Linked DNA regions of Diceros bicornis minor. The protein of the gene in region 3 purifies or fractionates together with the protein of the main gene of each other region. This does not show direct contact. Links are inferred from orthologs where the notes say so. Each region holds a gene or a part of one and is shown on either strand. Other genes may lie near its edges. The genes, in order: ARPC1A, ARPC3, ARPC5L and ARPC2.

Region 1 (7,297 bases), on a different chromosome or scaffold from region 3:
TTCTATTCTAAGAGTGAAGTTACTTAGGTCATTAATTTTTTACTTTTACGTGTTCTAGAATGCAAATTGCAACTCAAAAATAAAGAAAAAGCCTCTCATTGGAAATTTAAAAAAAACTTTAAATGAATTCAAATGAGACTGCTTAATTTGTTTTTTAAAAAATAAGCTTCCTGATGCTACCGTATCATAATTCTCTCTTTATCCCTGATATCAGATGCTTACCTACCACAACAGGTTTTACTCATAGTTCCTCAAAATAACATGTTGTGTAACAGATAGCTCCTTAAGTAAAAGCAATTTAGTTCAAAAGCCACATTTTATAGGTTCATTTGCTAACTGAAACAAAATTGGCCTGCAAATTAATAATTTAATGTGAATATCTGCATGCAATAAAAGCACATATTTCATGTGCTGCAGACAAAGGCTTTCTCACTCTTCAACTCAGTTTTATAAGCAATATAGCAAAGACTTCAAAAGAGGTAAACATTTACACAATGGCATAATTACTTCTAAAATTGCATTTCTAATTTTGTTATACCATTCAAGTTCTATATTTGGACATACACTCAGACTTACACTTCTTTTATAATCATGTGGCTATTCTGAGTCTGTAGACCAAGACAACATTCACGTTTGTCAAATTTATAGGGCGCCCAGTACACACAGACTGTATTCATCAAACTCAGTGAAAGCAAAAGAATAATAGCAGCTTGAATTTTGTACCAAGAAAAGATGCCTTCTGTCGTAGGGTGATAATTATAATTTCTAAGCTGTGATTAATATTTAAGTGGAATCTGAAAACCTTTGTCTTAATGAAGGTAGAGAAGAAAAAAAAGGACAGACAAAAAGGTAGTGACGTGAAATTTAACAATCTTCTATTGATGACCTTTTATTGTCTAGCACTGACAGAGATAATGATTTATAGCACAGTATGACCCCTGGAACACTGCCACCCCCCACCTCCTTTCTTTACCTATCACTTTGAGTACAGAGTCATTCTGATGTTTGGTTAGCCATGGGTTCTGAAGCCAAGGGGACGTGGGTTTGAATCTTGACTTTGACACATACTACCTATGAGACCCCAGGCAGGTCACTCAGTACCTCTAAATCTCGTTTCATCATCTGTAAAATGGACATATCACTGACATCCGAAAGCTGTAGGGAGGAGGATTAAATGAGATAACAAGCGAAAGCATGTAGCACAAAGCCTAGCCCAAAATAGATGCTCAAGAAGTTAGTTCCCTTTCTTCATCTGACCCCAGGCTTTTGAACTATCCCTGGAAGTACACATCAGTTAGCATCCTCCAAACACGGAAACATCCACATATGCTTTAAATTCTTGGCCCTGGTGCTTGAAAGTATTTGTACAGTGGGAATTTCAGTTTTCAAGACGTGATTCACCCAGTTTCTAATTGCTCTCACTACCCAACCCAGCAATACCAGGTACTCCAACAAGGTCACCACACCCTCCACAACGTCCAGAGACAGATTCCAATTCCAGGCACCAGCCTCACCAGCAGACCATTTTAAACTTCTTTATGCAGAATTTGTTTCAGCACAGGTTAGTCAACTAGATCAAAACACTGCCACTCTCCCTCCAAGCAGGAGTTTTAATTTTCCAAGATGATCCCTTCTTTTAATCGTCATAAGTAAATGAATTAACCTTGGAAGTTCTCCGAATACTTTGTTGTAGGAAGCAGCTTTACACCCTCTCCCAAATAGCCTAAAAACACCTTCCTGACTGATAGAGTCTCTGTTTTTTTGATACCTGAAAAACCCAGGGCCTACGTGAAAACAAGAGGTTAGATAAAATTAACAAAAGAGAGCAGAACTAGGATAGTTTAGGTAACTTAGGCAATGAGTTGAGGTAGGTGAAAATCGGTTAGCATTTCCTTCAGGTTCCAAAGCTGCAGTATGAGAACACATGGCTTTATAATCAAAGATCTAAGCAGTGTAGTAAGTATTGGGTTGGGGCCAGAAACATAAATAAATCTGACACTTTTCTGGTCCTTAAGTCTGGAAGAAGAGTGTAGGGGAGGAAGGGACGAGAGACATGCATAGAATGCCCAGAAGCAGTAATAATAGCTAATACTTATTGAGCACCTACTCTGGACTAGGAACTCTTCTAAGCAATTTATGCAAATAAACTCACTTGATCCTCAGAAAAGCCCTAAGAATCTTCTTACTGCAGATGAGGAAACAGGGATTCAGAGAAGCAATCTTCCCAGGGTCACCCAACCAAGTGGTGGTGCCAGGATTGTAACTGCCGCAGTGGGACGGGAGGGCTGGAATGTGCAAGGTGCCATATAAAAGGTTCCTTAGAGACAAGGAGCGAGGAGGAGCGAATATGTGCAATTCTGACTTAAGGGAAGGAGGCACCGGAGCGGGGGAATCTTAAAGAACTCGGGGGAAGGTTTTTCTCGAGTTCGGGAGGGTCCACCCGGCAGCTGAAGGATTGGGGGCTGCCCCAGACAGGAGCCAAACATTCCACGGGCGACGACTGTGTGCAGGGACCTCTCCTAGACGCTAAAAAAAGGAATGAACGGTCCCTCGTGACGCTCGATAGAGGGCAGAGGATCCCATTTACCACAATTTTACAGATTGTGATAAATGCCCACAATAGAGATGCAAATAGGGCAATAGAAGCGCAGCAGGAGTCGTTAATTCTGGCACGGGAGGAGGCTTGGAGCTTGAAAATCTTGGGAGAAGCGATCCCTCAAGGGGATCCCAGGGGCTCGCCAGGCCCCACGGAGAACACGGATCCCCGCCCCTCCGGGAGGCCGGGCAAGGAGACCCGGCCCGCCCCTCAGCCTCGGGCCCCGCGGCCTAAACCCCCGCCTTCCCGCCCCCGCGGGGTCGAGGCCGGGGCAGTGGAGGCCAGCAGAGCCAGAAGCTCGCCCCTGTTGCCCCTTACCTGGGGTCGGGGCAGTCCGGACGGGCTCGGAGCGGAGAATTCGCGGACTCTGGTCAGTCGACGCGAACAGGCTCCGGCGGGCGCGGGCGGAGGACCGAGGCTCAGAGGGAGCGGCTGACAGATCCCGGAAATGGCCACGGCGCCTGCGCAGCGCGGCGGCGCGGGCGGTCCGCGCACGCGCACTGATCGGTCGTGCGGCAGGGGTCCCGAGCGGGTGCGGCGGGTCAGGGTCGGGCCTGTGAGCGGCCGCGGTGGCCTTTCTGAAGCGGTGTCGTAAAACGGCTGGGGAATGGTGACGAGACAGCGTGAACGTCTTACTCCGGTCCTCGAAAAATTTCCTCAGACTGGCGGAGCGAAGTGTGGAGCCTTGGCGCTTTCGCGAGTGCTTTTGTCGGGAAATGAATTACTGAGAATTGAGAATTACTATATGACGCATTTCGCGCCACACGAACCCGACGAACGACTACGTGTTTCCCCCTTCAGAGACACCCCCGTCAGAGCCAGTCTCCTGTGCAAAGCCCTCTCCGAGGAACTTTCGCGACCCTTCCTCAGTCACTTGTTTCCTGCTCCCAAGATAGCGCCACAGGACAGAGGAATTGGGAGAATTCAGCATCTCCCCCCAAACACGTGAAGACAGCTTCCTGTGCAGATGCGGCTTCAAGGAAATGCTCTGAACCCCACTTGCGGCTAGACCTGTCGCCCTTCAAGGAAATGCTCTGAACCCCACTTGCGGCTAGACCTGCCGCCCTTGAACCCACAGAAATTCTGGAGCAGCACTCCTGTCCTCGGGGCCACAGCAGGTCGCCCACCAAGTGTCTGTATGGTTCCCTGTGGTGGTTTACAAGTTTGACCCCAATGCTTGGCTGTAAGGTGATGTTCACAGAAGTGAACGTGTCAAATTCCAAGTGTCAGAGCCTCACTATGTTCTCTGGGGCTGGTTAATCCTCTTGTTCGGGAGCACGCATGCACTGGAAGTAATTGGTTTTGCTTTGTCCCGTGGCTACAAAGTCTTTGGTCCCAGGGACATCGAGGACACATTGAGAGAGCAGAAAGAGCATTTTAAATTAATTACCCCCTCTCAGAGACAGCACCTTGGCAAAGGAAGGACAGCATGCGTGGAAGCAGGGATTCCTCGTGTGTCTGCAAGTTACATGAGCCAATCCGGAAGTGTGCAGAGTTGGTACCCAGAGTAAAAATACCAACAGTGTTTTATTTAGATCCCACCTCTTTGCAAGGGACAGTGCAGTTCCTTCTTTGAAGGAATTTGTAATCTGGGTAGATGAGAATAACACATACAAATTAATAATACCAGACTCTTTATGATAAATGACAAGAAAAGAAATAACTTAGTCCAGGAGAAGTAACAGTAAAACATTTAATATTAATCTCCGGTTCTACCTTTTGAGTTAGTATTTTGTATTTTAGCCTAAACAAAGCTTACCCTTGGATGCATTTCATCTTTTATGAGTCATTCCAGATGGTAAAATTTTATTTCTAAAGGGGCTTGTTAGGTGAAACCATCTTATTCTGTAACTGAGGAAACAGGGCCAGAGGATTTTGAGATTTCATAAAAGTTTTGATGTAAGTCACTGGCAGTCCAGAGCCTCTGTCCTGGTACCTAGTCCAGAGCATTTCCCATTATCCCATCATGCCCTGGTATAAGAGCCATTAGAGAAGGAGAGTGAGTTATTTTTAGTGTTTGTTTTTCAGACTTGTGTAATGACACTGACAGTATCCACAATGAGGACTCTGCCTTTTAAAAAATAGTTGCAGGGACGGGGCCGGCCCGGTGGCGCAAGCGGTTAAGTGCGCGCGCTCCGCTGCGGCGGCCCGGGGTCCGCTGGTTCGGATCCCGGGCGCGCACCGACGCACTGCTTGGTAAGCCATGCTGTGGCGGCGTCCCATATAAAGTGGAGGAAGATGGGCACAGATGTTAGCCCAGGGCCGTCTTCCTCAGCAAAAAAAGAGGACGATTGGCGGATGTTAGCACAGGGCTGATCTCCTCACAAAAAAAAAAAAAAAAAAAAAAAAATAGTTGCAGGGAAGGTGGTACTTAGAAATGGGAAATGGGAGGAAGTGAGGGGTTGGACACTGAGGGGTATGCCATGGGATGGTTTTGTTTGCTTTATTGACTCAGTTGGAATTGGCGTAGGATTGAATTGCAATTTGGTCAAGCTTCAAGTCATTAAATATTTACTGAGTACTCACCAAATGCAAAGTATTGTTTTAAGCATTTCGTGCAATGTACAGAAGAGTTGAGTAAGATCTCTCTGTCCTCAGGGAACTTAAGAGTGGGATAAAACCAGTTCACCGATAGTTTTAAATAGAAGGAAATACACAATCCCTGGAACCTGGAAGGTCCTAGTTAGTGTTTGTTGAATGAAACTATGAATGAATGAAATAAACAGTCTGGGATTTCAGAGAACACAGAGATCACCACCAGTTGTGAATGGGAGCCGGGGCTTGTTGAGACACATCAGGAATATCACCAGTTATAGATCGGAAAGATTACATGTTTACCAAGGTCTGAGGATTTCCTTATGCTCAAGAGAGCTTTGATTTAGTATCTGGAATGTGGGTTTGGAGAGTAAGAAGATTGTTTCTTGCTTGTGCCACCAGCCAAACAACAGTGAACACTTAATGCTGATCTGCCTCCATTTCTGTCTCTTACCTGGGTCAGTGCCTGCCACCTACTCACCACAGAGACTGTTGGAAATATTATTGAATCAATGCCTGTAAAAGCTGTATGTAAGCAAAAGGGTAAAAACAGAAGCGCATGCTCTGTGTTAATACTTAACAATGCTTATGATTTAGATATTGTCTATTTGCTGGGTATCGTCCCGAGGAGGGAAAGTTTCCCATAGAAAAGATCTTGTACAGTTCAGTGCAGAGGGACTGAAAAATGCATGTGGATTTTTCCACTCTAGGTTGCTCACCTAGTTCATTTCCATAGTGCAGGGATGGGACCAGTTTATGGGGTATCTAGGGGCATGAGGTAGTCCAGATGGTATATAAATAGCATTCTATCACAAATACTATACTTACAAGACAAGCACATAAGCATACTTATGAATACCAGGTATTGTTTTTCTAATTTGATAAGTGAAATCTGTAGTCCACAGGCCTGTAAATCTCCTGGAGGCCAGAGCCAGTTCTTCCACAGTTTGTTTCTAACACTTTTCCCGTGTTGTTATGCAATCTTAGATTATTTTAATAAAAAGGTAGTATGATGGAGTGCTTAAGAGAGTTCATTGACTTTGGAAGTAAACAGAACTGGGTTCAAATTCTGTCGCGGCAGCTTATCAGCTATATGCCTTGGGACAAGTCAATCAGCTTCTCTAAGTTTATTGGCAAATGAGGATAATAATTCCCACCCCTTAGGGTTGTTCTAAGGATTAAAATAGACAATGTATATAAAGTACTTGACAGTTCTTGGCACATTAAAAGCACTTAAATTGTGGCAATTATTATTTGAAAATATTGTACCAAGTTGATTCTCATAATTTACTATTTCTCAGTTGTTTTTTTCCCAGTCTGTGGCTTCTCTTCGTTCATTCTCTTAATGTCTTTCAAAGAGCAGAAGTTCTTAATTTTGAGAAAGTCCATTTATTAGGTGTAATGTCTGAGAAATCTTTGCCTAGTCCAAGGTTATATAGATTTTCTGCTATTTTTTTCCAGAAGTTTTATAGTTTTAACATTGATTGATTTTAGAGTGTTAAACTAAACTTGCATTGTTGGGAAAAGTGCTCCTTGGTCCTGATGTATTATTCTTTTTATACTTACTATATTTAGTTGCTAAAATTTTGTTAAGAATTTAACAATTTAAAATCTTTGTGGGCTGGCCCTGTGGCTTAGCGGTTAAGTGCGCGTGCTCCGCTACTGGCGGCCTGGGTTCGGATCCCAGGCCCGCCCCGACGCACCGCTTCTCTGGCCATGCTGAGGCCACGTCCCACATACAGCAACTAGAAGGATGTGCAACTATGACACAACTATCTACTGGGGCTTTGGGGGGAAAAAAGGAAGAGGATTGGCAATAGATGTTAGCTCAGAGCCGATCTTCCTCAGCAAAAAGAGGAGGATTAGCATGGATATTAGCTCAGGGCTGATCTTCCTCACAAAAAAAAAAAAAATCTTTGCTTATGAAGGATATTGTTTTGTAGTTTACTTTTCTTGTAATTTCTAGTTTTGGTATCAGAGTAATTGTGGCCTCATAAAATGGGTTCAGAAGTATTTCTTTTTCTTCAGTTTTCTGGAAGAGTTTGTATAGAATTGGCTTTTCTCAATTTCTAAACATGAGAGTTTTAAGTTATATTTTTGTTAATGATTTCTACCTTAATTGCATAATTTCTAGCTTCATTACTGATTTTTTTTTGCTTACTTATT
Region 2 (7,819 bases), on a different chromosome or scaffold from region 3:
CTAGCAGGATGTGCAACTATGACATACAACTAACTACTGGGGCTTTGGGGGGGAAAAAAAAAGGAGGAGGATTGGCAATAGATGTTAGCACAGAGCCGGTCTTCCTCAGCAAAAAGAGGAGGATTAGCATGGATGTTAGCTCAGGGCTGATCTTCCTCACAAAAAAAAAAAAAAGGTATTGTCTAAATTGAGATTTGTGACCACCGTAGATTAAATCTACCTCTTCCTTCCTTATCCTCACCTTTGGAAATCATGAGACAACCATCTGATGAGTGGCCTGTCTTTTCTTCAGGATTAACATTTTTTTTAGTTAGGCCAGTTTTGTCCCAGTGAGAGCAGAAGCCTCTCTTTTATGTGGGGACCAGGGAGCTTTGTTGGCAACAGTTGATTTATCTTCTCTTTTCTGTTTCCTCCTTCAGTTTATTTCTGGCATCTTGGCAGCCCTGAGTGCTATGATCTCTCTAGAAATTCCACAAGTTAACATCATGACGAAAATGGATCTGCTGAGTAAGAAAGCAAAAAAGGAAATAGAGAAGTGAGTTCTTCTTTTGTTATCATCAGATCTCAACTACAGGGATGTGAGGTTCTATCAGTCTATAAATCTAATTTCTTGATTATTCTTCCTTTTATTCATCTCACTTTTAAAGGTTTCTGGATCCAGATATGTATTCTTTATTAGAAGATTCTACAAGTGACTTAAGAAGCAAAAAATTCAAAAAATTGACTAAAGCTGTATGTGGACTGGTAAGCTTTTTAAGTTTTTCTTTTTTTAAAAGACCTGGTCAGGTTGGAAAAGCACAATCCAGTCCCATTTCCTTGCAAAGGAGAGGAGGATGGTGGTAGGCTGTGGGCTGGCTGGTCAGTAGTTTAATTTAGAAGTAGTTATTGGCAGTAGCTAATAAATTAACTGACATGTCTCTTATTCCAAGCCATTTTGAGAATTCAGAACTATCTGTGCCCTTGTAAAGTATCCAGTGGTTATTGAATACCTAGAAATTATTTCACAGATATTATATATATGTGTATTATATTTTCATAGATAAATACCTATGAAACAATGTCTAGTTATGTAATAAGTTAAAGAATGTTCTAGTAGGTCGGAGATCAGAAAAATCAAGGATGATTTGCTGTTATTCTGTCTCTATCTACCCCTCCTCCCCCTTCCCTCCCACAGAAATGTTTTTAATCAGAAGTATAAATGGTTATAAACTCAACTATAGATTGAAAATTAAATATTTTGTACAACTTCAGAATGACCCTTTCTGAAATCCCCAACTTGTAGATTGATGACTACAGCATGGTTCGATTTTTGCCTTACGATCAGTCAGATGAAGAAAGCATGAACATTGTATTACAGCATATTGATTTTGCCATTCAGTATGGAGAAGACTTAGAATTCAGAGAACCAAAGGTAATTTTTGATTATTGGCTTTCGGTAAAAATGTTTGCCAGCGCTCACTGGCCTCCTGCATAATCCCAGCAACTCTTTAAATTAATTTTTGTCTTAGTGGCAGCAGTAACCTTGGCTTTTCTGGGTGATCTCTGAAATTGACACCTGGGCTCAACAAGCAGTGTCAGTTGTACCCTACCTGTTATCAAGGCAATATTATTGAGTTTTCTTTGTCCTCACAGCTCGGGGGTGTGTGCAAAGAGGAAGTGAAATCCAGTTGAACTTGGGCTGCCTTCACATATGTCAGTGGAAAGACCAGGGATAGTTGTCAGTAGGGCGCTGTCACAGCAGATTAGCTGAGAATTGGCGTGAGTGTAAGCTCGAGTAAGATACGCTTCTAATGAGATGTAGCGCTTGAGTTTACCACATATCTGGAAAAATACTGTCAGTCATGCCTTTTGTCACTATAGACGACACGTGGAACTGCTGCTGGGCGTTAGCTCCTGGTAGAGCATGACCTGGAAAATGTCAGCACACACTTGGTCTAACTGAGGGGAAATGATATATTTTCTATTTTGTGTTTCCTTTGTGTCAGGAACATGAAGATGAGTCTTCTTCTATGTTTGATGAATATTTTCAAGAACACCAGAATGAATGAAGAGTTTATTAAAAGTGACTATATATATATGAAGAGCTTGTGACTGAACCAGCAGAATATTCTTGTCTTCAAAGGATGCAATACTAGAAAGCTGCTTATTTTAATGAAAAAAATAATACTTGGCTTTTTATCAGCAGCATGCCTGAATCAAGTTCTGAGTTATTCTGAAACTGCTGCTGTTTAACAGCAGCAATTTAGATTTTAAAAGTCGAAATTGAAATGAATGCACATAGATTTGTATATAATATAAATTAGTCCCTGTGGTACAGTTAAGACCACTCTACCTTTATTTTTATCATTTGTTATTTTTGAAGGTTTTTTGGAGGGGCAGAAGTTATTGTAACAAATATACATATGTGTGTCCAAAGGAAAAAATCCAGAAGAATATAGATAAGATCATTGCTTATCTGTATCTTCCAGTTTCCTACATTGAAAATGTATTATTTGTATAATTAAGAACTGAAAAGTAACTATGTTTTAAGATATAAATGTATATAAATAAAAGAAATAGAAAGATAGCACTAACTTTTCATTACACTCTTGTTTTCCAGTCAGAATTTAAAATACTCAGCCAGGACAAATTTTTGAATGAGTCAATTTCCCCAAGCGTCAAAATGTAGGCAGTGATTTCTTTTAAAATGTTTGTAGTCTCTGAGCATTTAAACATTTATACTTTCCTTGAATAATAACAGATGCACACAAAAATATAAAAGACGTAATTTTTTCTTTTTAACTTCCTGCACATTGAATTGTTTATTTTCGGTATTTCTGAGTTCATTTGGGTTGGGTGGAAAGCATGAGGAATGACTGGTCAATCAACAGGTATTTCTCTGGCACCCACTGTAGGCCAGGCCCTACTAAAGCAAAGCGGAATCTCATTTATCGAGTTCTGCCAGGCATTGTGCTAAGAAGTGTTTTACATAATCTGGTTCATTTAATCCTCATAGCAGGCCCAGGCTCCATTACTCATTTGGCACTGGATCTTCCAGCTGATACAAATTAATCCCTTATAGAAAAGCTGCAACTCAGGTTAAATTTTTAATCATTCTTGGGCCTAGATAGCAGAAGTACACCTGCAGTGTCACATTGGATCCATTTTAATCAAAGGCAAAATTGTGAGGAGTCAGCCATCAGGGGTAAGTTGTGCCTGGAGCCCAGGCTCGGGGCAAGAGTCAGGTATTTGCACCAGGGTGCCTTAATGTGAGTCTTCTCACAGGGGCAATCGGGAGCACGTGATGAGTGGGCAACCTGGGGATGTGCTGTCCTGCCTGGGGACTTTTCCTGTGGCCTTTAGTGTGTAGAAAGTGTGAAAACACCCTGAGCTCCTCATGTTGCTACTTTTTAGAAATTTTATTGTCACATGAGAGGGGAAGAAAGAAAAGGCAACTTTTCATTCACCCTCCTCATTGCTCCTGGAGCTGTACCTCCCTGGTTTAGCTTCTGGAGAGTCTGGTTTGTCCCTCTGGGCAAGAAGTGAAAGGCCAAATTCCATTTCCTTCCCCTCTGAACACTGGGGTTTCAGAATGAATATGACAGTTCCAATCTTCAAGGATTTCCCTGTCTTGTAGGAGAACCTGACGTGATTCTTCAGACAAATTTACTGGTGGGAACCAGGCACTGAGGATAAAATAGGAGCACTCAGAGCAGCAAGGCCCCTCTCATGGAGCTGAGGTGCTGGGCTCTTGAGACTAACCACAAACAAGGAAACCTGATAAGGAATGGGAAGAACAGAAAACAGTAATGAACTGGGGAGTGACTAAGGGATTACTTTGGGCTTGTTGTCAAAGAAGCCTCCTAAAAGGTACTATTTGGCCAGAGCCCTAAATGAGAAATCAGTTGTGGGAACATGGGGCAAAATATTCCAGTCTGAGGGACTGGCAGAAGAAATGGCCCGAAGCAGCAATGAACTTGGCTTGTAACATGAGGTGATTTCTAGTAACCTCTCTGTGCCTCAGTGGGGCCGTGCGCTTAAAAACGCCTGAGCTTTCAGTATCTTCCAGGCATTTAAGTTCTAAGCACTTTACATGCAATTCGTTTCATCATCACAAAACTGAGGTAAGTACTGTTATCTCCATTCTCAGGTAAGGAAACTGAGGCACAGAGAGGTTAATTAACTTGCCCCAAATTACACAGCTAGCAAGTATTAGAGCTGAGATTCAAACCCAGAGTCCACTTGCTCAACCATTACAGTACTGCCCCATTGCAAAGAATTGCAGTGCGGAGTAACGCACAAACCCCTTCTTCCCTGTGCTCGTTTCCCCGTTGTTAAAACCAATGGGTTGGGTTCGTTCACTCACTCAATAAGTGTTTATTGGTGCTTACTATGTACCATCACTGTTACAGGCGCGGGAGATACAGCAGTGAACAAAACGGACAAAATCCCTGCCTTTTTTACGCTCATATGGATGGGGAGACGGAGACAAACACCAAAAGTAAACTAGATAATAAAAGAACCATAAGAACTAAGGGAAAGAAGGGTGAGGCAAGGGGGTGGAGTGGGGTTGAATTTAAAATAGTGTGACGCAGGGAATGCTTCACTGAAAAGCTGATCTTTGAAGAAAACAAACGAGGTGATTAATCACTGGGATTCTGTAACTCCCAAACCCATCCCCACTGCGCACACGCCTCACGCATGCGCGACACGCGGTCCCTGCCTAGTGCTCGGGCGCCCCCTGGCGCCCCTCCGGATCCGCGCAGCCGCAGCAGCCAGCGGCGCGACAGCAAGCCCGGAAGCGCCGCGTCCTCCCCTCGCCCTCCCCTTCCGGCTCACTTCCGCCTACCCCGCCCGGGCCGCCAGACCGGAAGCGCCGCGCTCTAACCTGTCTTCCTTGTCTGGCTTGAAACCCGGGCGCCGCCGAGATGCCGGTAAGGGGGCCGGTCGGGGTGTGGGGAGGCGGCGAGAACTGGGGAGAGCGGCGAGGAATGGTGCGTGCGCTGAGACAAGCGGGCCGAGGAGGGCGGCGGGGAAGCAGGGGCCTGAGGAGGAGAGAGCGAGGGCAGGGGCCGGTCCCTTGGAGTTGGGGCGCCCGGGGCGTCGGCCGTGGGGGCGGGGGCGCGGCAGAGAGGGCCAGAGACCAGGGGCGTGCGGAGGAGGCTGCCCCGGTCCTTTGCACCCCCTTCTCCCCAGTCCCGATCCCTTCTCTCCCCCTTTCTGCACCCCGACTCCGGCAGGGTCCCCAAAGCCTCACTAGCGCCGCGAAGCCAAGGGCTGCGCTTTTATTTTTCATTTTTCAAGTCCGGGGTCCGGCTTCTCCTTTTCGCCTGCAGGCCCACTTCCTCCTCCGCCCCAGGGGGCGGGTCCCTCCCGCTGCCTGTCGTCTGCCAGACCCCGCTTCCCCGGCTCCTCCCCTGTCGCCCCGGCAGTGGCGGCCACCCCTGAGCTGCTGGGTTTAGGGCCCCAGAGCAGACTCGGGTCCGCGCCTGGTTTCCAGATGTTTCTGTTTTCTTGTGCATCGGGAGTAAAATTGATGGTGGTCTGATTGCTCTTAATTTCTGACAGCCAGCCTCTGGGGTAGATTTATCACCGTCATGGTCTCCATTTTGCAGATTAGGAAGAAGCTTCAAAAACGTGACTATTCATACAACAAACATTACTGAGCACCTGCTGCATACCAAGCACTGTTACAGCAGAGCATAAGGCCAACAAATAGCTCCTCTGAAGGAGTTTACATTCTAATGAGGGGACAGACAATAAACACGTAAACGTAAAGAAAATGAAGGAGATGGTTTCAGACAGTGACAAATGCTATGAAGGAAATACCAGATGGGTAACAAGACAGCAGCTGCTGAAGGGGAGGGTGGCGGCTGCTTTAGGTGAAGCAGACCTGTGATGAAAAGGAGCAAGCCATAGTTACAAATGTGTATTTTATGAATCCCATAGCTACCATTTGACTCCTGATGTGTGCCAGGCAGGCCCTGAGCTGCACACTTCATATAAATTATCCCATTTAATCCTCACAGTAACCCTAGGAAGTAGATATGTTGTTGTTTTCTCATTTTGCAGAGGAGGAAACTGAGGTTCAGAGAAGTTAAGTAACGTGCCTGAGGTTGCGCCCAAAACGGGTTATAAGCCGGGGACTCTAAAGCCCGGTGCTTATTCCAGTTGCATGTAGAGCACCCTGGACTTCCCTTGTGATTGCTTATTTAATATTTGTCTTTTTCATGAGCCTGAAAGTTCTTCAAGAGTGGAAACCATACTGGTCTTGCATCCCATTATATCATGGTGCCTTGGATGTAGAAGGTGCTTAGTAATCGTTTGGTGAATGAATAAATATATGAATGGGGCCCATGTTGCCTTACAAAAAGCCAGACATTGTGTAAAAAGCGGAACTACGAATCAGCCTACAAATTGCTCTCGTTAATGTGATTTTTTTTCTCCTTCTTTAACTCACACCTGCTCTCTGAAGGCAGTATCTGTCTCTTCATTTTACAAATTTAGAAACAGGCTGAGAAGAAAAGTGATGTCTTGGTCAAAGACCAAGCCAGGAAGTGGCAGACCTGAAAAGCCACTGCTTGGGTTCTGGCTTAATAGCAGCTAGGGCGTGGGTACCCCTGATTAATATAGTGTTTGCCTACTTCTGTAGTGTAGATACTCCCACCAGGTACCAATGTGATGTTACTGAACATAGAACGGGAAGAGATGCCCAGTCACATCCCATTATATAGTATTTCCACCATAAAGATACAAAGACATAAATAACCTTAAGATCATAGACAATAGTGAAACAACTTTTAAAAATAACAAGTAGTGAATTTTGAGTATTCATTACCTTTGTTTTTAATACTATTTTTTAACTGCAAATTTATATAATTTAATTTTTAATAATGGCTGTGTTCAACAACCAACTTGGCTCAAAATTTCTCAAAATTTAGCAGTCAGTTTTCATGAGCCAGTAAGAGCCAGCTCCAGCACGTCGATGCCACTATCCCTCTGCCCCCTCCCCTGGTTAATCTTGGGTGGGTTGCTCTTTTTTTCCTTTGAGGAAATGTTCTTGTCTGCTCTGCTGACGTTGCTCTCTGCTTCTCTGTTCTTACCTGGCTTGCCACCACAGGCTTACCACTCTTCTCTCATGGACCCCGACACCAAACTCATTGGAAACATGGCCCTGTTGCCCATCAGAAGTCAGTTCAAAGGACCTGCCCCTAGAGAGAGTAAGTTGAAACCCCTTTCCATTATTTTCAGATTTTGGTATGAAACATCTAGCAATGCTCTGATATTACCCAATTGGGGAAGTCCTGTGCCTCAGATTGCTCTTGTGTTTTCTTTTTTTTTTTTTTTTTGTGAGGAAGATCAGCCCTGAGCTAATATCCATGCCAATCCACCTCTTTTTCTTTCTTTCTTTCTTCTTTTTTTTTTTTTTTTTTTGCTGAGGAAGACTCACCCTGAGCTAACATCCGTAGCAATCTTCCTCCACTTTATATGGGACATCGCCACAGCATGGCCTCACAAGCGGTGCCTCGGTGCGTGCCTGGGATCCAAACCCGGGCTGCCAGCAGCGGAGCTCGAGCACTTAACCACTAAGCCACGGGGCTGGACCCGCTCTTGTGTTTTCTATTTGCTTGGTGGATATTGCTTTCTAGACCTTTCAAGATCATGGGTATATGTTGCATTTAGTAGGAAACTGTATTATTGCTGCTCATTTCTCCAGGGTATTCTATCGAGGGGGAAAAAAATGCTTCAGTCGTGACACTGTTCCTATCATCTGTGAGTTCTTTCAAACTAATCTAACACTGCTACATCTGTAAAATGCCGTGTCCCTGTCCTTTCTCTG
Region 3 (7,430 bases):
GCTCCACCTTCAGGTCGTCCAGCTGCTTCAGCAGCTCTTCCTTCTTCTTGCCGCGAAGGTCTCGAGCCTTAATCTTGGCCTGCGCGCAGGAAAGGGACCGGGTCAGACACCTCGCGGGCCGCCCTCCGCTGCGCCCGCGTCGTGGCCAGGCCAGCGGGGCGCGCGCCTCGCCCTGGGCCACGAGCGCGCTGGGGGCCCAGCATCCCCGCTAAGCCGTGCCTTGAGTAGGGCCACCGAGGCCCCGGTATCCCCGCTCGCCCAGGCCTACCACGAGGCTGGGCCGCCACCCCATTCCGCAGAGGGGAAGACGGAGGCACCGGGAGCGCGCACCCCTCCTGGCCCAGGCCGGCTGTGGCGGCGCCAGGCCATTCCGCAAAGCGCCCCACAGGCCCGGCCAGCAGATGGGACCCTAGGGCTCACCCCGCGCCCCCGACCCCAGCCCCTGAGCCCGACAGCGCGCGGATGGCGTCCGATTCCCCAGCTCTCACCATGGCTACACAAGCCGCCGCCGCCGCCGCCGCCGCCGCCTGCTCCGAGGGAAAGAGGAAGGGGGCGGGGCCGACCTCCGCAACTACTGCCGGGTGGCGGCGGGCGCAGCCAATGGCGCCGCGGCGGGGGAGCTCCGGCTCCGCCCTTGCCACGCCCCCACCCCCGCCGCCGGCAGCACCGTGGTACCGCCCGTCTGGCCCCGCCGCGAGGATACCGAGCCCGTCCGTAGCGCCCGCCTCTTCCTCCTGCACCTGAGATGACTTAGATCGGCCTCACGCCCTGAGCAGCGCACTTGGGGAAACCGAGCCCCGGGGTGAACGGCAGCTTTCCGGAGATGGCACAGTGAGGACTCGGATTCGTCCATTCAGTCATTTATTCGTTCATCCATTCATTCGTTCATTCCGTAAACCTTTGCAGGTCGCCCAGTCCGTGCTGCTCTGAGCTGGGCGCCGGTGTTCTGGGGAATCAAGGGGATGAAAGTTTTCAAAGATGAATTAACACGGCCCCTGCCTTGGAGCAATTTAAAGTCCGAGGTGGGCGGGGAGGGGCGGGGTCAGACAGCTATAATCCAACTCTTTAAACGTTCTGGTGGAGGCGGCAAGTGGCAGCGAAGGAGCATTCTTGGCCTTTTTTTAGTGAACCCGACCGGGTTTCAAAGTCTTGCTCTGTTGCCGGGTACAACTGAGACTCGGCAAAACCCCTCCTCTCTCGAGTCTCAGTTTTCTCACCTGTGAGATGGGGTATTGATGAGGATTACGGAGATAACATGTAAAACTCTTAGCACAAGACCTGAGGCATAACAATGCTCAAAATATCATCAGTTACAATGTTCCCACTGGAATGAACGCTTGAGTTGTGCCCTGAGAGTTAAAGGCAAATTCATGAAGCAGGGAAGGTGCTCAGGCTTTCTGACTGGGCGGTTTCATTGTTGCCCCAACGGGCAAGCATGAATCCATGCTCTAGTGTCACTCCATTAGCAAAGACATGCCAACACCTTTTAGAGCTCTAGTTAAAGCCAGGTTGTCCCCTTGTTGGTGTCGGGTGTCACCTCCTCCAGGGAGCCTTCTCCCATCCCCAACATATGGGATTCTGTTAATGGACCTTAGTCTTGGACTAAATTGAGAAACGACCTCCCTTTGTGTCCCAAGCTTTCTGTGCAACCCTCTCTTTAGCCCCAAACATACTGAATTAAAATGATGTTTATGTGTCTGTTTCCATAGCCAGCCTAGAAGTTCCCTGGGGGCAGAACTATGGCTGACATCTGATTTGGTTTTTCCTTTTTTTTTTTTTTTTGTGAGGAAGATCAGCCCTGAGCTAACATTCATGCCAATCCTCCCCTTTTTGCTGAGGAAGACTGGCCCTGGGCTAACATCCATGCCCATCTTCCTCCACTTTATATGGGACGGCACCACAGCATGGCCTGACAAGCAGTGCATCAGTGCGCGCCTGGGATCCGAACCCGGGCTGCCAGCAGCAAAGCGCCGGCACCCAACCTCTATGCCACAGGGCCGGCCCTGATTTGGTTTTTCTAGTCTCTAGGCCCAGCACATGGAGGCTTCTTGGATGAATGAATTAATGAGCGTTGCCCCAGACACAGTGAGGCAGGCTTCCAGGAAGTGGAGGGATATGGGAAAGAGAGGGCAGACAGAGGGTATTGACATGGATTATTAGTCTTAAATGGAACTTGAATGGTGCACAGGGACTCTGCTGTCCTATCTTCCAAATGCTTATAATTCTATTAGAGCTAATGATCGTGTAAGTCTTTTCTGAACTTGAAGTCATCTGTGACTCCCGTTTCTCTTACAGGCCACATTCAATCCACCAGCACATTTGGCAGCCTCTACCTTCACAATATACCCGACCTCTTCCCACCACTCTTTGTTGTTTTTTATTGTATTTTATTTTTTGGTGAGGAAGATTGTCTCTGAGCTAACACCTGTGGCAGTCTTCCTCTATTTTTTGTATGTGGGATGGCGCGACAGCATGGCTTCACGAGCACTGTGTAGGTCCACGCCCAGGATTTGAACCCCGGGCTGCCGAAGTGGAGCGTGAAACTTAACCAGTATGCCACTGGGCCGGCCCCTTCCCACCACTCTTATTGGCACCTGCCTGGCCTGAGCTAACAGGCCTGACACCATTGTGTCACCTCTTAAATCACCTATTTTGGCTCTGGTTCGCATACGTGTTCTCAGCACAGCTGCTAGCAGGACCCTTTTCAAACTTAAGTCAGATCATGTCACTGCTCTGCCCATAATTTCCAGGGCTGTCCCATTTGAGTTAAGACCACATCCTTTCCTCAGCCTACCAAGCCCTACAGCATTCCCTCCAGCCCCCACTTCTATCTCAACTCTTCTCTCTCTTCTGCACCAGTAAGGCCTTGCTTTTTCTGGAATACACCAAGCCTGCCCTGCTTCTGGGCCTTTGCTTGGCTCCCTCCTTCACTTCCTTCAGGTCCCTGATCAATGTCACCTCCTCAGGGACACCTCTCTTGACCACTTTAGCTAAGGTACACCCAGGCTCTGCATGGTTTTTTTCCCTCAGCATGCAGTCATCCTTGTCATAGTATAGTTTGGATTTTTAGAATTCTGCCTCTGACTGGAATGGAAGTCCATGGTGATAAGCAGGGACATTATTTCATTCACCAGTTTATTTGGGGGCTATTTCTTTATTTGTAAAATGGGCTTTGCTGGTTTAAAGTTCCTTCTGGCCAGGATGTTCTCGGGATATGAATTTCTGCTGTCTTGTGGCCTGCCTGGGTCACAAAGATTTCTTCCAAGGTATGGAGCTGAAAGACAGGTGGGCCTTGTCTATTTTCAGGACCCCCTGAGACTTTAATTCAGCACCTATTTCCCCCTGTAGGAGTCTGTATCTTTAGCACCCAAGATTAGGTAGCATCATAGTCTGGCAATATTTTTGACCTGTAGACAGTTCAATGAGAAGTATTCGAAGCAATAAGAATGAATCACATTTCATTAACTACCGGCCTTTATTAAAAAGAGTACTATTATATGAAAACAAAGACTCAATTTAGTCGAAGGCTAAGGACCATTAACAGAACCCCTCAAGCAACAGCCCAGGCACCTAATGGTGGCAGTAGAGTCGCCTTTGACTCTGCCCTACCTCCCCCCACCTCCATCTTGCCCCATCTCAGACTCAGGGGATTCGGCTTCCTACCAGGATATGCCTCTCCAGCCTGGCCCGACGTCAGCCCCAAGGACCTCGTCCTTCCTGCCAGGATGGTGGCCAGAGTCATCTCCCTCTTCCCGCCGCCCACCCGCCCGGCCAAGGTGTCTGCTACACGCCGCACCCTCAAGTCCAAATGTCTTCATAGTCTTGTCAGCACCCTGGATACCCTTTAAACGTCTATAAAGTCTCCCAGTCCGTTAACAACAGGGTCTCTGTGTACAAGGCAGAGGCTGCCTCCTCGGAGCTCAGTGTAGTGGCGTTCAAGGCTCCCAAGATCCAGACCAGGCTCCCCCACCCCCGTCACTCCTCGGGGACTAAGAACTACTACTCATCCCTCAGGCCTCAGCTCGAAGGTTTCTTCTCCAAGAAGCCTGCCCGGCACTCGACACGTAGGGCCGGCCGCCTTCTCCTGGGCCCCCGGCCCCTCAGGCTGGGCAGTGAGGCCCCCGGAGTCCGCGGCCGTGCCCGCGCCGGCCCTTCCAGGGGCTCCTTGGACGCAGGAAGGAAACCGAAGAACGAGCGCAGTTACGGCGCCTACGATGCTGGCTGGGGCCCTCTCCTCGGATGGGAAGAGGGGAGTGCAGCAGGCTACTTCTCCAGCCCCTCCAGTCGCTCCGGAGGCGCCCCCACAGGCCCCGCCCCTCCGTCCCACCGGCACTTCCGGTTCCGGCGTGGGCCGGAAGTGGGCGGGCACGGCGGCTGCGCGCGGAGGAGGAGGAGGCGGTGCCGGCGGCCGCTTCCCGCCCCCGAGCCGGAGCCGGTGCTGAGCAGAGCCGAGCCGAGGTCCGGCCCGGAGCGGAGCCGGCTGAGCGGGCGCCGAGCCCCCGCCATGGCCCGGAACACGCTGTCCTCGCGCTTCCGTCGGGTGGACATCGACGAGTTCGACGAGAACAAATTCGTGGACGAGCACGAGGAGGCGGCGGCGGCGGCGGCGGCGGCCGAGCCAGGCCCGGACCCGAGCGAGGTGGACGGGCTCCTGCGGCAATATCCTTCCCCGGCGCGGCGGCCTGGGCTCCCCTGTGGCCCGGCCTTCCCACTTCCCTCCTTCCCGGCTCCGGTCCCGTGGGCCGGCCTCCCCACTCCTCTTACCCCGGCCCGCTCAGCTCGGTCTCCCAGCTCCCTTCCCATCGGGCTCCCCTCTGGCCAGCTCCCCTCAGTCCGGGTGTCCCCTCTTCCCCCTGACCCGGCCTCCCCCTACCTCGTCCCTGGCCCCGGCCCCCAGAGCCTCCCTCAGCAGCGCAGCCCCATGCGGCCCCTAGACCCTGGTGACCGGCCCGCTCGGCGGCCCCGGGAGCGTGCCGGACGGCCTCGGCCCCGCACTCCTCCAGGCCTCTTCTCTGTTCTCTTTCTTGCTTCTTCATCCTCTCAGGCTGTCCCTTCTTTGGGGGCCCCGTCACTCCATCCCTCGCTTGCAGGAAATGGGGGCATTCTCGGGCTTGATCGGCGGGAGGGGCCGAGGTGAGCCACCGCTGAGTAATTGAGCGGCCGGGGCGGCTCCAGGGCAGCCCTCTCGCGCTGGATTGCAGCACCACACGAAGATGGGTGGGTGGATGGGGAAAGGACCCAAGGGGGAGCGCAACCTGCAGCGTTAGTCCAGCCCTGAGGTCTGAGCCTGTGCTCCTCCCACCCCAGAATCAAACTGACCCTCCAGCTTGATGCCACTCTTTGTCGCCCATTCTTGGGCTTTGGACCTTCATGGTCTCATCCACGTTCAACAAGTGAGTTTTGGCTCCCTTCCCCCTGCTACCTTTCTTGTGCAGGAAGCAGTGGAAAAAACTAGTAGTTTAGAGCTAAGAAAAACCAGAGTCAAGTAAAATGTAAAAGTAGAGCCCCACGCCTGCAAATGACCTTTCTTGTGGCCACAGAAAACAGCGTTTAGAAAACAAGATTAAAAATAGAGGTGGTTGTCACAGCCTGCTTGGTCCCTTAGCAGTTTGAGCACAGGAAACTGACTTATTCTCACAGGAAGGATTTTTCTTGATTCAAATGGTGTTACAGGAAGCGCCCACCCCTCCCCCGCGCTCACCAGGGCAGGGTTGGAGGCTCCTGCTGTATATAAAGCAGGTTCTGGGTGTTTAATCAGTTGACTCAGCTTGGGAAGGCAGGCCCAGAGACTGGCTTTGGGAGGAGTCCTGCAGTGTTCTTCCAATTTACCTTTAAAACAAAAACCTTCTGACTTTCTTTCTTTGAACAGGAATGTGTTGTCAAAGGTGGGGATTCAAACTTGTATTTCCTACCCCATCAGGATCACCTTGCTTACCCCACTGGCGAAATGGGGTCATGAGAAGGGCCCCCACGAGAGAAGGTTGGTTTTGCAGTCTGGTGCAGGACCTGGCTCGTGGGCAGGCAGTGCCAAATGGGCTCCAAGTTCAGGCCTGTGGCCCAGAACCATCCGCAGATGGGGAGAACAAGGTCTGGTTACCTGCTGGCTTGGTCCTGGTGCTGTAGGGACTTGAAGGTCATCTCTTGGTACGCCCCTGACTAGTGATAGTCAGGTTCCTTGAGGCTGCTTAGCACATCCAGTAGATGGTAGTTTCTCCACTAATGGCAGTGTCAGAAACCTTGTTACCATGGAGAGTGTACCTCCTGGGATTGGGGAAAGGGAGGTTAGCACGTGAGAACTGAAATTCTGGCAAATGTGGGGCCTGGGGAGGAAGAACTAATACTTACTGAGTCCCTACCACGTGGTATTGGACTCACATTAGATCGTTGAATTTAAACTATGGAACAGACTTCTAGGAGTCTCAGGACAGAGGCAAGGGAAGTAGGGATAGGGGGTGGTTGATTGGAGTAGGGGAAGGTAGGGAGGAGGTCTGTCCTAGTGCTGTATAGGGAAGCAAGTCCTGGTGGGAGATCACACAGAAGCAATAGAAAGAACATGGGCCATGCATCCACACAGACCCAACTCTATCAGGCTCTAGCTGTGTGACCTTGAGTAGGTCACATACCCTCTCTGAACCTTAGCATCCTCCTCTGTTAAAAGGAGGAGAACCATGCTGGACTTCGAGGTTCCATGGGAGCATCGCTGGGCAAAATCCCAGAAGGCTTCTGCACAGTGCTGGGCACACAGCAAGTGCCTGGACGTGCAGCTTGCGTCTGTGGGTGGAGCGGCAGCAGGGCTTGTAGGAGGAGCTTGGTTTTTGGAGTCAGGCATATTTGGGTTGAAGGCCAGCTGGACAGCTTAGCTTTGTGACCTTGGGCAGGTCATTTCCCTTCTCTGGGCCTCAAATTCATTGCCTTTAAAATGAGAATAATGATTCTTGTCGCAGAGTTGTTAGCAGTAATGAAGTAACACATCAGAGCACCTGGCACAGGATCTGAGATCTGGTAGGGATTTTAAAGTATTAGTTCCTTTTCTTTGCTGAAGCACCTTCTGGTGCTCTGGAGCAGCGATCTGTCCAGAGCAGTGGTTTGAGTGATCTTGCGGAACTTGGTGCTACTGGGATCTAATGGGTAGAGGCCAGGGATGCTGCTAAATATTGTATGTTGCACAGGACAGACCCCACATCATTCATCTGGTCTGAAATGTCACTAGTGCCGTGGTTGAGAACCCCTGATTTGGAGGAGACTAGGGGCTGGGCAGGGTTCCCCAGCCTCCACAGCCTGTTCTCTGGAAGGGCCTAAAGCCAGCTGAGTACAGAGGCCAGCTTGATAAATGGTGTGCCCTCCTGCTCCCCAGCTCTCCTGGGCTGCTGAACGCCCTTCCCCATCTGCACCTGCAGTGAATGCTGGGTACCTGGTGCCAGAGAGAGGTC
Region 4 (7,606 bases), on a different chromosome or scaffold from region 3:
CTTTGTTCTACATCGGCACTCTCCAAATACGGCAGCTACTAGCACATGTGGCAACTGGGCACTAGAACTGTGGCTAGTGTGACTGAGGAACCTAATTTTACTTCACTTTAATTAATTCTTATTTCAACTTAACTAGCCACATGTAGCCACTGGCTATCATACTGGACTTTGCAGAGTTGGAAGACTCACTCTGCAAAAGGCTGCTCGGATCCATAACTTCCCCAATTGCTTTGCTCTGAGAAATGTAGGGCTGGGTGGAGCTGACTCCTCCCAGCAGGTCCCCACACAGGCAGAGCCTTTCAGATCTCCAGGGTTTCTCCTCCAAGCTACTCTTACTTGAATGTCTTTTTCTGATCTCTACCCCAACACATCTCATCCCTTATCTCCCCTCTAACTTTGCCAATAGGCTCGCTCAGGAAGCCCCTCTTTTTCTGTTCCTGCCTGGTGCTGAGCACTGGCAGAATCCCATAAATGTTGATGATTATCATACTAGTTATCCTTTGCTGGAAGTTCTGGCGTAGGTATGTGCCTTGATAAATACTTAACTACTTCACTGCTGCCTCACCTTACTTAATGGATGCCTGGAAAGTCACACTGGGCTTGGAAGAAGGCTTCTGCGGGTGTTATATTTGCAATCCCAAGAAAGCCCTACCTCCTAGGCTGGCTATCATGGTCTCTTTTCAAAGATTTTCAAAGTGCTTTTCAGCAGAATATGTTCTGAGCCCACTTATTTAAAGTCACATCTCAAAGGGAAGATGGGCCAGAATAAAAGCCAAAGCTTGCTGCCCTGCCCCCACAGCCAACATTGCTGTAACACAGAGCTTGTAAGAAATGTCCTAGAAGTTCTAATGTATGCCTTCCAGACTTGAGTGCCTACTTTAATTCCTCTGAAATGGTTAGTTGCTCTTTTTAAGAGTAATCTTCTAAAAGGAAAAGAGCTGAAGTTCTAAATAAGGGGCGACACTTTGGAATCACAAGTTATTAATACACAGATGTGAACATACTCCTCAAACCAGGCATGCTTCTCCTTGAAAACGCACAGGCATTTATCTCGTAGATCAGCTTATAACCACTCGGGTCTCATTCTTTGCTAGTCTGGACTTGAGAATGCACTTAACATCAGCTGTGAAAATGCAGAAGTTAATTTAACTTCCTCCTGTGTGCTACACTGCTCAAAAAAGTACACGGCAATCACCCAAAATAAGACTCTGAGCTGATTCGCTCGAACATTTAAAATGTAAAGGAACTGGGAAGCGAGGCTGAAGACGGACGAGAAGCAAGTTAGCCTAAAATATAAGCGAGTGCAGCCCCTGGCAGGAAACAGTAGCTACTGCTCACTGCATGCAATGCTTCAAGGAAAGTCCTGCTTTGTTTTAGATACAATCTGTGGCCTCATAAAAGAGACAGGAGATACAATATGCTCAATTCAAGCAGTGGGTTAGAAGTATTTTTTTTTTAAATGCCTCCAAGCCACAAGTTCATTATGACCACTTAGAATTTCCCCTCCACCGATCCTCTCCCATTGGTGGATCTCCAAGCACTTCCTTTCCTGTTCTTAGTTTCCAGCTCACCAGAAACAGTTCACACTTATTTCCCCAACTGTGCAACCAAGATGTGAAGCCCCATCCTCACAGAGGGGGAAATGAGGCAAAGGAACCGGCTGCAGGCCACCAAAAATCAGAAGCTAAAACCAATTCCTCGGCTCACGTTTTAAATATTATATTAGAAACGCAAAGCAGCTCTAGAGGAGGAGGTTGGCTTTTATTCATTCTTGTGTTTGACAGAGAAGGCTGCCTTGGAAATATGTCTTAGGCCAACAGTAAAAAATGGTTATCTAAGAACTTTATAGACTTTGCAGGTTTTTAAGTGTATACCTGGGCCCGGACTACCACGGAAGAAATCACAGAGCAGGGGTCCAGTATAAGAATTTAAAAGATAACCAGATAAAGGCCAATGGGTGGGGAGAGGAGAATTAGAACCTCAGAACAGAGATAAGGAAGGGGTGTGGATGGGGAGACCACTAGCTCTGCGTGAGAAATATGTAACAAAATGGCTAGTGTGCCTCTCACGGGAGGGCTCAGGGAAGGGAAAGGGGAGAGATCGCGTCTTTCTCGCTGCAAGACCGGGTCTGCTTTCAGTCTTCCCTCCCGCTCCTGGAGACGAGGAGGTGGGGGTGGGGAGCAAGGAGGCCGGTGGTGACCTGGGCCTGCATCTTCCGCCCTCCTCCAGGCCTGGGCATTCCTGAAAACTCCTTCCACCCCAATCCCAAACGGGCTCCCTTCGGGATCAGAACAATGCCGGGGAACAGAGAGGACAGCGGGCTCCTCCAGCGAGGGTGCCGGCCCCAGATGCCCTCGCGTCCCACAGGTCTCCGGCCCTCCTTCAGCACGCGCACTCCTGTCCACTCCCCGCTTCCGCATCCCCGCTCCGAGCCTCGCCCCGTGCATCTCTGCCCCTCACCCCACCGCGCCCCATCGCCTCCCACGTCTACTCCGCCGGGGCAGTGCCCGCACGCGGCCGGGCCCCCTGTCCCTCTCCGCCAAGTGTGGGGGCGGCACGACACTGGGCGGCAGCAGCGGGGGTCAGCTCTACCTCCTCCGCCACCCACCGCCCCGGGCGCGCGCTCACCCGGCGGCCGCGTTCTCGAACTTGAGCGCGAGCGTCTCCTCGATGATGCGGTTGTTCACCTCCAGCAGGATCATGGCGGCGGCTGCCCCGGGCAGGGGAAGGAGAAACAAGGGCAGGTGAGGGTGGGGAAGGGGGGAAGGACGGAGGGAGCGCCCCGCTGGCCCCTGAGGAGGGGCTGGGTGGGGTGAGAGGTTAGGGGAGAAGGGGACAGGGACCGGGGTGGGAGGAAGGGGAGGACGCGCGCGCTGGCCCGCGCACGCCCTGACTGTGGAGACACCCACCCACCCGACCGACCTGGCCCCCGAAGCCTGAACCCGCCTGCCGAGCCGCCGCCGCCGCCGCTGCCGCCTCACCGACAAGCCCGGTCCCCGCCCAGCCCCCGGCTCCAGCCGGCCACTTCCGCTCTCACACCCACTTCCGCTCGCCGCCCGGACGCGCGGCCCCGCGGCGCCATTTCCGCTCCGACCCCTCGTGCACGCGCACGCAGGCGCGCCAAGGGGGCACGGAGGCTGCGCTTGCGCATGCGCGGTGCCGCCACCTCGCCTCCACTTTCCCACAGACCCCCTGACGTCCTGCGCTTGCAAGTGTGCCTGTCCGGCGAGCGTCCTTCCCCAGGGCCTGCCTCACTGTCCAGCGCCTCCCTCCCGCTCGTCCCAGAGGTCCAGCTTCACCCTTCCGGCCTTGCCATTTCAGAGACCCCCGCTCTTGTCATCGCCCAGCCGGCTTCTTTGCTCTCAGCTTGTTGGTTGTGGGTGTGCCCGTGCCTCTTGCCACACTAGTGGCTGTCCGGCGGCACCGTCACGCCCTCATTTCTCCAAAAAATATGTAGTGGGCTCCTGCTCTGTGCTGAGGATACAGTGGTGCATGAAATAGACGAGGCCCTGCCCTCGTGGAGCTTATAGTCTGGTAAAGGAAACTGACCACAAACTCGCAAGTAGTAACTACAAATTGTTAAAAGGGCAGTGACGGGAAGGAGCGAGAAGTCACCTAGGTGAAGGGGCCTGCGGGGTTCCTGTCGTGCCTCCATTTCTGAGCCTGGGGAGCTGCCTCTAGATGCCCCGAACGTGATGTCTCTGCTTTTGAAACCCTTCCAGGACCTCTGCCAGAGACGTACCTTCTTCCTCAACTGCGTGCAGAATCTGAACTCGTTTTTGTGCTACATTCGCACCTTCTGCCTGTGTGTCTTGTGATACTGGCCATGGATAAGCTTCAAGACATTGCAGATCCCCCGAAATTATACGCTAACATTTTAACATTATTGTTTACTGAACTAAAGTAACGCGGATACGTAGTTTAAAAATACATGTACTAAAAGGCTTGTAGTGAAAAAAGCAGGTCCCTGGCCTTAGAGGCAATGTCCTCAACTCTTTTACGTATTCATCCGGATTAGATCCATATATCTAAATAAATGCTTATACTACTAATTCTTGATTTGTTAATTTTAAGGATTATCTGTTGACTTCCTGCTGTAATAGATAAGAACATGACTCTATCAGCTGTGGAATTGGTGCATTTTACAAGGTTGAAATCATGGCAGGTCCAGAAACTGATGCCCAATTCCATTTCACTGGTATCAAAAAATATTTCAACTCTTATACTCTCACAGGTAGAATGAATTGTGTACTGGCCACATAGGGAAGCATTGCTTTCAGGGTCTTATACTTCAGGTTAAGGTCTAAAAAATCTTCAGCTGTGAAAGCGACATAAATGGATTCTAAACTGTACCTTGTCTGTTAAGTTTCCATGCCTGAGAAGCTAATGTCAACTCATCATGTGATACTCCATTTATACAATAAATTATGAACCTAGGAAAAAAAAAAAAAAGAGAACATGACTATCCCTTCTGTTTCTTGCCTCCACATAGTTATGTAACAGTTTTTGGTTAAACCAATAATCAGCGTTTAAATTATTATGTATGCAAGTATTGTTTACCAGTGAGCCAAGAAGTGCACCACAACCATGCCTTCTAGCTTATACAGCTGTTCATTTTTCTTAGAGTTAATTATTGCCTTTTTTCTCTCACTTGTCAATTTTCTATATTTTCCTACAGTTGGCTGCCTCCTACCCCACAGGTGCTCTAAGACTGTCCAAGACTCTAGCAATATTTTCCATATACCCAAATACACAAGTTCCACTTTTTCTCTAGAGTCTTTGTTCCAGAGCCTTCCTTCCTCTTGTTTCAATCTGGATTGACTGTGCTCTAGACTTACTGTATGGTTGTCATTCTGGGATTTTCCTTTGTTGCTGTTCTAGGCTGTTTTTGCCCATTTCCTGGATCCCATGTCTTCCTCTTTCTTGATTTTCTTCCTTGTTTTGCTAAAGCACCTCCTCTAGTAACTTCCTAAGAAGGGAGATAGAAGATATGTTGTTGAAAGCTTTATATATTTTAAAATATCTGAATTCTATTCTAACACTTGATTTGTAGTTGGGCTGGTTATTGAATTCAAGTTTGAAAATAATTTTGCCTCATAATTTTGAAGATATTATTCCATTTTCTTCTACCTTTCAGGGTTGCTGTTTAAAAAGTCTAACTCTTATTCATATTCCTGATCCTTTGTATGTTACATCATCTCCATCTCTGGAAGTGTTAGGATTTTCTCTTTATTTTCTCTTTAGATTGTTTGTTGGAAATTTTATAATGATGTGCTTTGCTGTGACTCAACTTTTTTGTACTGAGCACTCGTTCAAAGTGGAAACTCATGTACTTCAGTTTTGTGGAAAATTTTCTTTGATTTTTTTTTGATAACTTCTCCATTTTCTTTCTTCTCTTTCTGGAATGCCTATTCTTTAAAAGTTAGATTTCTAGATCGATCCTTTAATTTTCCCTTCTACTTTCTGTTTCTTTGGGGTTTTTGGTTATTTTATTTTTAATTGTGGTAAAATATACATAACATAGAATCGGTCATCTTAACCATTTTGTAGTGTACAATTCAGTAGCATCAAGTATATTCATGCTGTTGTGCAACCAATCTTCAACCATTTGAAGTTTCAGTTTCTTGAAGACCTTTTTCTCCCCAGCTGAATCCTCCCCATATTATTCTATCCTTGTTTTATATATCTTCTCTCTGAGGATGGTATAGTGTGTTTGTTTTTAGTTTTTCTTCTGCTCTCTGCTTTGATCTGTTTCTTTGAGTCCTTTTTTATACTAATTTGTTTTGGTCTCTCTCTTTTATGTTAATGGCCATCCTTAAACGTCTGGCTACTTTAGCAGTCTGCTCGTATTTAAAGATGAGACTGTAACAAGCTGAGTGGAGGCTGAGTGTGGGCGAGATGAGTTGACTAGCGTCTTGCTACTCGAAAGGGACCAGCAGCACTGGCTTCATTTGGGAGCTTTTTGGAAATGCAGAATCTCAGGCCCCACTATAAACCACAGATTTAGAACCTGCAGTTCAACAAGCTTACCAGGTGATTCAAATGCACGTTATGTTCGGAGAAGGGCTGGATTAGTGGGCTGCACTATAACAGGCACCAATGATGTGCCAGACTTCATTGGGGGCCCACAGATGTCAATATTCGGAGGTCTTTTCTCCAGGGACAAACCCTCTGGTTGTGTTTGCAGCTTGTAAGCTTGGCTGTGAGTGTTCCCAGAGTGTGTGGGGGCGGGCAAGAATGCTTTGAGTGCCTGCTGACTTCTACTGAATCCCGTTATCAGCCCTCTGCCTCCCCACTGCCTTCCACTGGCTGGAGTCTATAGAAAATGACTCTCCCGTGGTGGAGATGGAGGAAGGGGTAGAAACGGGATGGGTCTGGTGAGAAAGAGGATAATCACTCGACTGCTTGGGGACCTAGAACACCAAAGGCTTTTTATGCAGATTTTTACCCAATCTTCCCATTTTCTTCATCTTGCTTTTGGTTTATTTAAACTCATGACTAACAGAACAACGATCTTTGTACCCACCACCCAGCTTTCTTGAATCTTAACATTTTATAATTAAACTTTCTTCAGAGCTTTTTGAAAAAGAAACGCAGTTGAAACTTCCTGTGAACCTCACCCAATTCCATTCTTTCTCTCCTTCCTTCCCCTCCTCAGCAAAGGCAACCATCACCCTGCATTTGGTGTTTATCCTTCCCACGCATGTTTTTACACTTTTGCTACATATGCATGTACCCATAAACAATGTATAGCATATTTTGTATGATTTTAAGCTTTTTGTTAATAGTATCATACTCTATTATCTCCTTTTGAAACTTGTTTCTTTTAATCAACAATATGTTTTTGAGATTTACCCATGTTGTTACATGTAGCTATTTTAACTGTGATGTAGCATTCCAATATATGATTATACATTATGATTATTAATATATTTATCCATTCTCCTGTTGAAGGACACTAAAGTTCTTTTCCCATGTTTTTGCCATTACAAGCAAAACTTTGTAATAGCAAAATGTACAGGTGTGAAGGTTTTTTTAGGGTATGTTCCTAGGAGTTTCCTGTGTACAGGTGTGAAGGTTTTTTTAGGGTATGTTCCTAAGAATGTAACTGCTGAGATGTGGGCTATAGACACTTTCAAATTTGCTAGACGTTGCAAAATTGCTCTCCAAAGTAGTTGTACCAATTTATACTTCCACTAGCAATGTATAAGTGTTCTCATTGTTCCCTGTCCTTGCTAGCACTTGGCATTGTCAGACTTTGAAATGGATGGATATGAAAAAATATCTGAGGGGCTGGCTTGGTGGCAGAGTGGTTAAGTTCATGCGCTCTGCTTTGGTGGCCTGGAGTTCACAGGTTTGGATCCCGGGCTCGGACCTACACACCGCTTGTCAAGGCATGCTGTGGCGGGCGTCCCACATAAAGTAGAGGAAGATGGGCACGGATGTTAGCCCAGGGCCAACCAATCTTCCTCAGCAAAAAGAAAAGGATTGGCAACAAATGTTAGCTTGGGGCTAATCTTCCTCACACACAAAAAAAATCTGATTGTTTTTAAAATAAGAATTAGCCAGGTAGATACAGAGGCATGTATGAAGGCGTAGAAGCAAG

What was found.
Region 1: the proteins of ARPC5L (region 3) and ARPC1A fractionate together in Homo sapiens (co-fractionation; 7 studies listed by BioGRID and IntAct, with this or other methods). This does not show direct contact. The link is inferred for Diceros bicornis minor from reciprocal best matches to the Homo sapiens genes ARPC5L and ARPC1A.
Region 2: the proteins of ARPC5L (region 3) and ARPC3 purify together in Homo sapiens (affinity purification with mass spectrometry; 7 studies listed by BioGRID and IntAct, counting the BioPlex papers as one, with this or other methods). This does not show direct contact. The link is inferred for Diceros bicornis minor from reciprocal best matches to the Homo sapiens genes ARPC5L and ARPC3.
Region 4: the proteins of ARPC5L (region 3) and ARPC2 fractionate together in Homo sapiens (co-fractionation; 7 studies listed by BioGRID and IntAct, with this or other methods). This does not show direct contact. The link is inferred for Diceros bicornis minor from reciprocal best matches to the Homo sapiens genes ARPC5L and ARPC2.

What each region holds. Positions count from the first base shown.
Region 1 is NC_080765.1:7,346,715-7,354,011, forward strand, and holds the start of ARPC1A (actin-related protein 2/3 complex subunit 1A), read right to left. Parts: upstream 3,005-7,297; 5' UTR 2,915-3,004; intron 1-2,914. UniProt on the Homo sapiens protein: Probably functions as a component of the Arp2/3 complex which is involved in regulation of actin polymerization and together with an activating nucleation-promoting factor (NPF) mediates the formation of branched actin networks.
Region 2 is NC_080774.1:8,970,426-8,978,244, reverse strand, and holds the start of ARPC3 (actin-related protein 2/3 complex subunit 3), read left to right. Parts: upstream 1-4,815; 5' UTR 4,816-4,907; coding exon 4,908-4,913; intron 4,914-7,099; coding exon 7,100-7,199; intron 7,200-7,819. Other genes in the region: GPN3 (GPN-loop GTPase 3), read left to right, coding at 420-535, 648-744, 1,283-1,411, 1,986-2,048. UniProt on the Homo sapiens protein: Component of the Arp2/3 complex, a multiprotein complex that mediates actin polymerization upon stimulation by nucleation-promoting factor (NPF).
Region 3 is NC_080767.1:33,364,356-33,371,785, forward strand, and holds the start of ARPC5L (actin-related protein 2/3 complex subunit 5-like protein), read left to right. Parts: upstream 1-4,430; 5' UTR 4,431-4,504; coding exon 4,505-4,659; intron 4,660-7,430. Other genes in the region: RPL35 (large ribosomal subunit protein uL29), read right to left, coding at 1-79, 489-491. UniProt on the Homo sapiens protein: May function as component of the Arp2/3 complex which is involved in regulation of actin polymerization and together with an activating nucleation-promoting factor (NPF) mediates the formation of branched actin networks.
Region 4 is NC_080776.1:8,672,351-8,679,956, reverse strand, and holds the start of ARPC2 (actin-related protein 2/3 complex subunit 2), read right to left. Parts: upstream 3,018-7,606; 5' UTR 2,923-3,017; intron 2,711-2,922; 5' UTR 2,703-2,710; coding exon 2,629-2,702; intron 1-2,628. UniProt on the Homo sapiens protein: Actin-binding component of the Arp2/3 complex, a multiprotein complex that mediates actin polymerization upon stimulation by nucleation-promoting factor (NPF).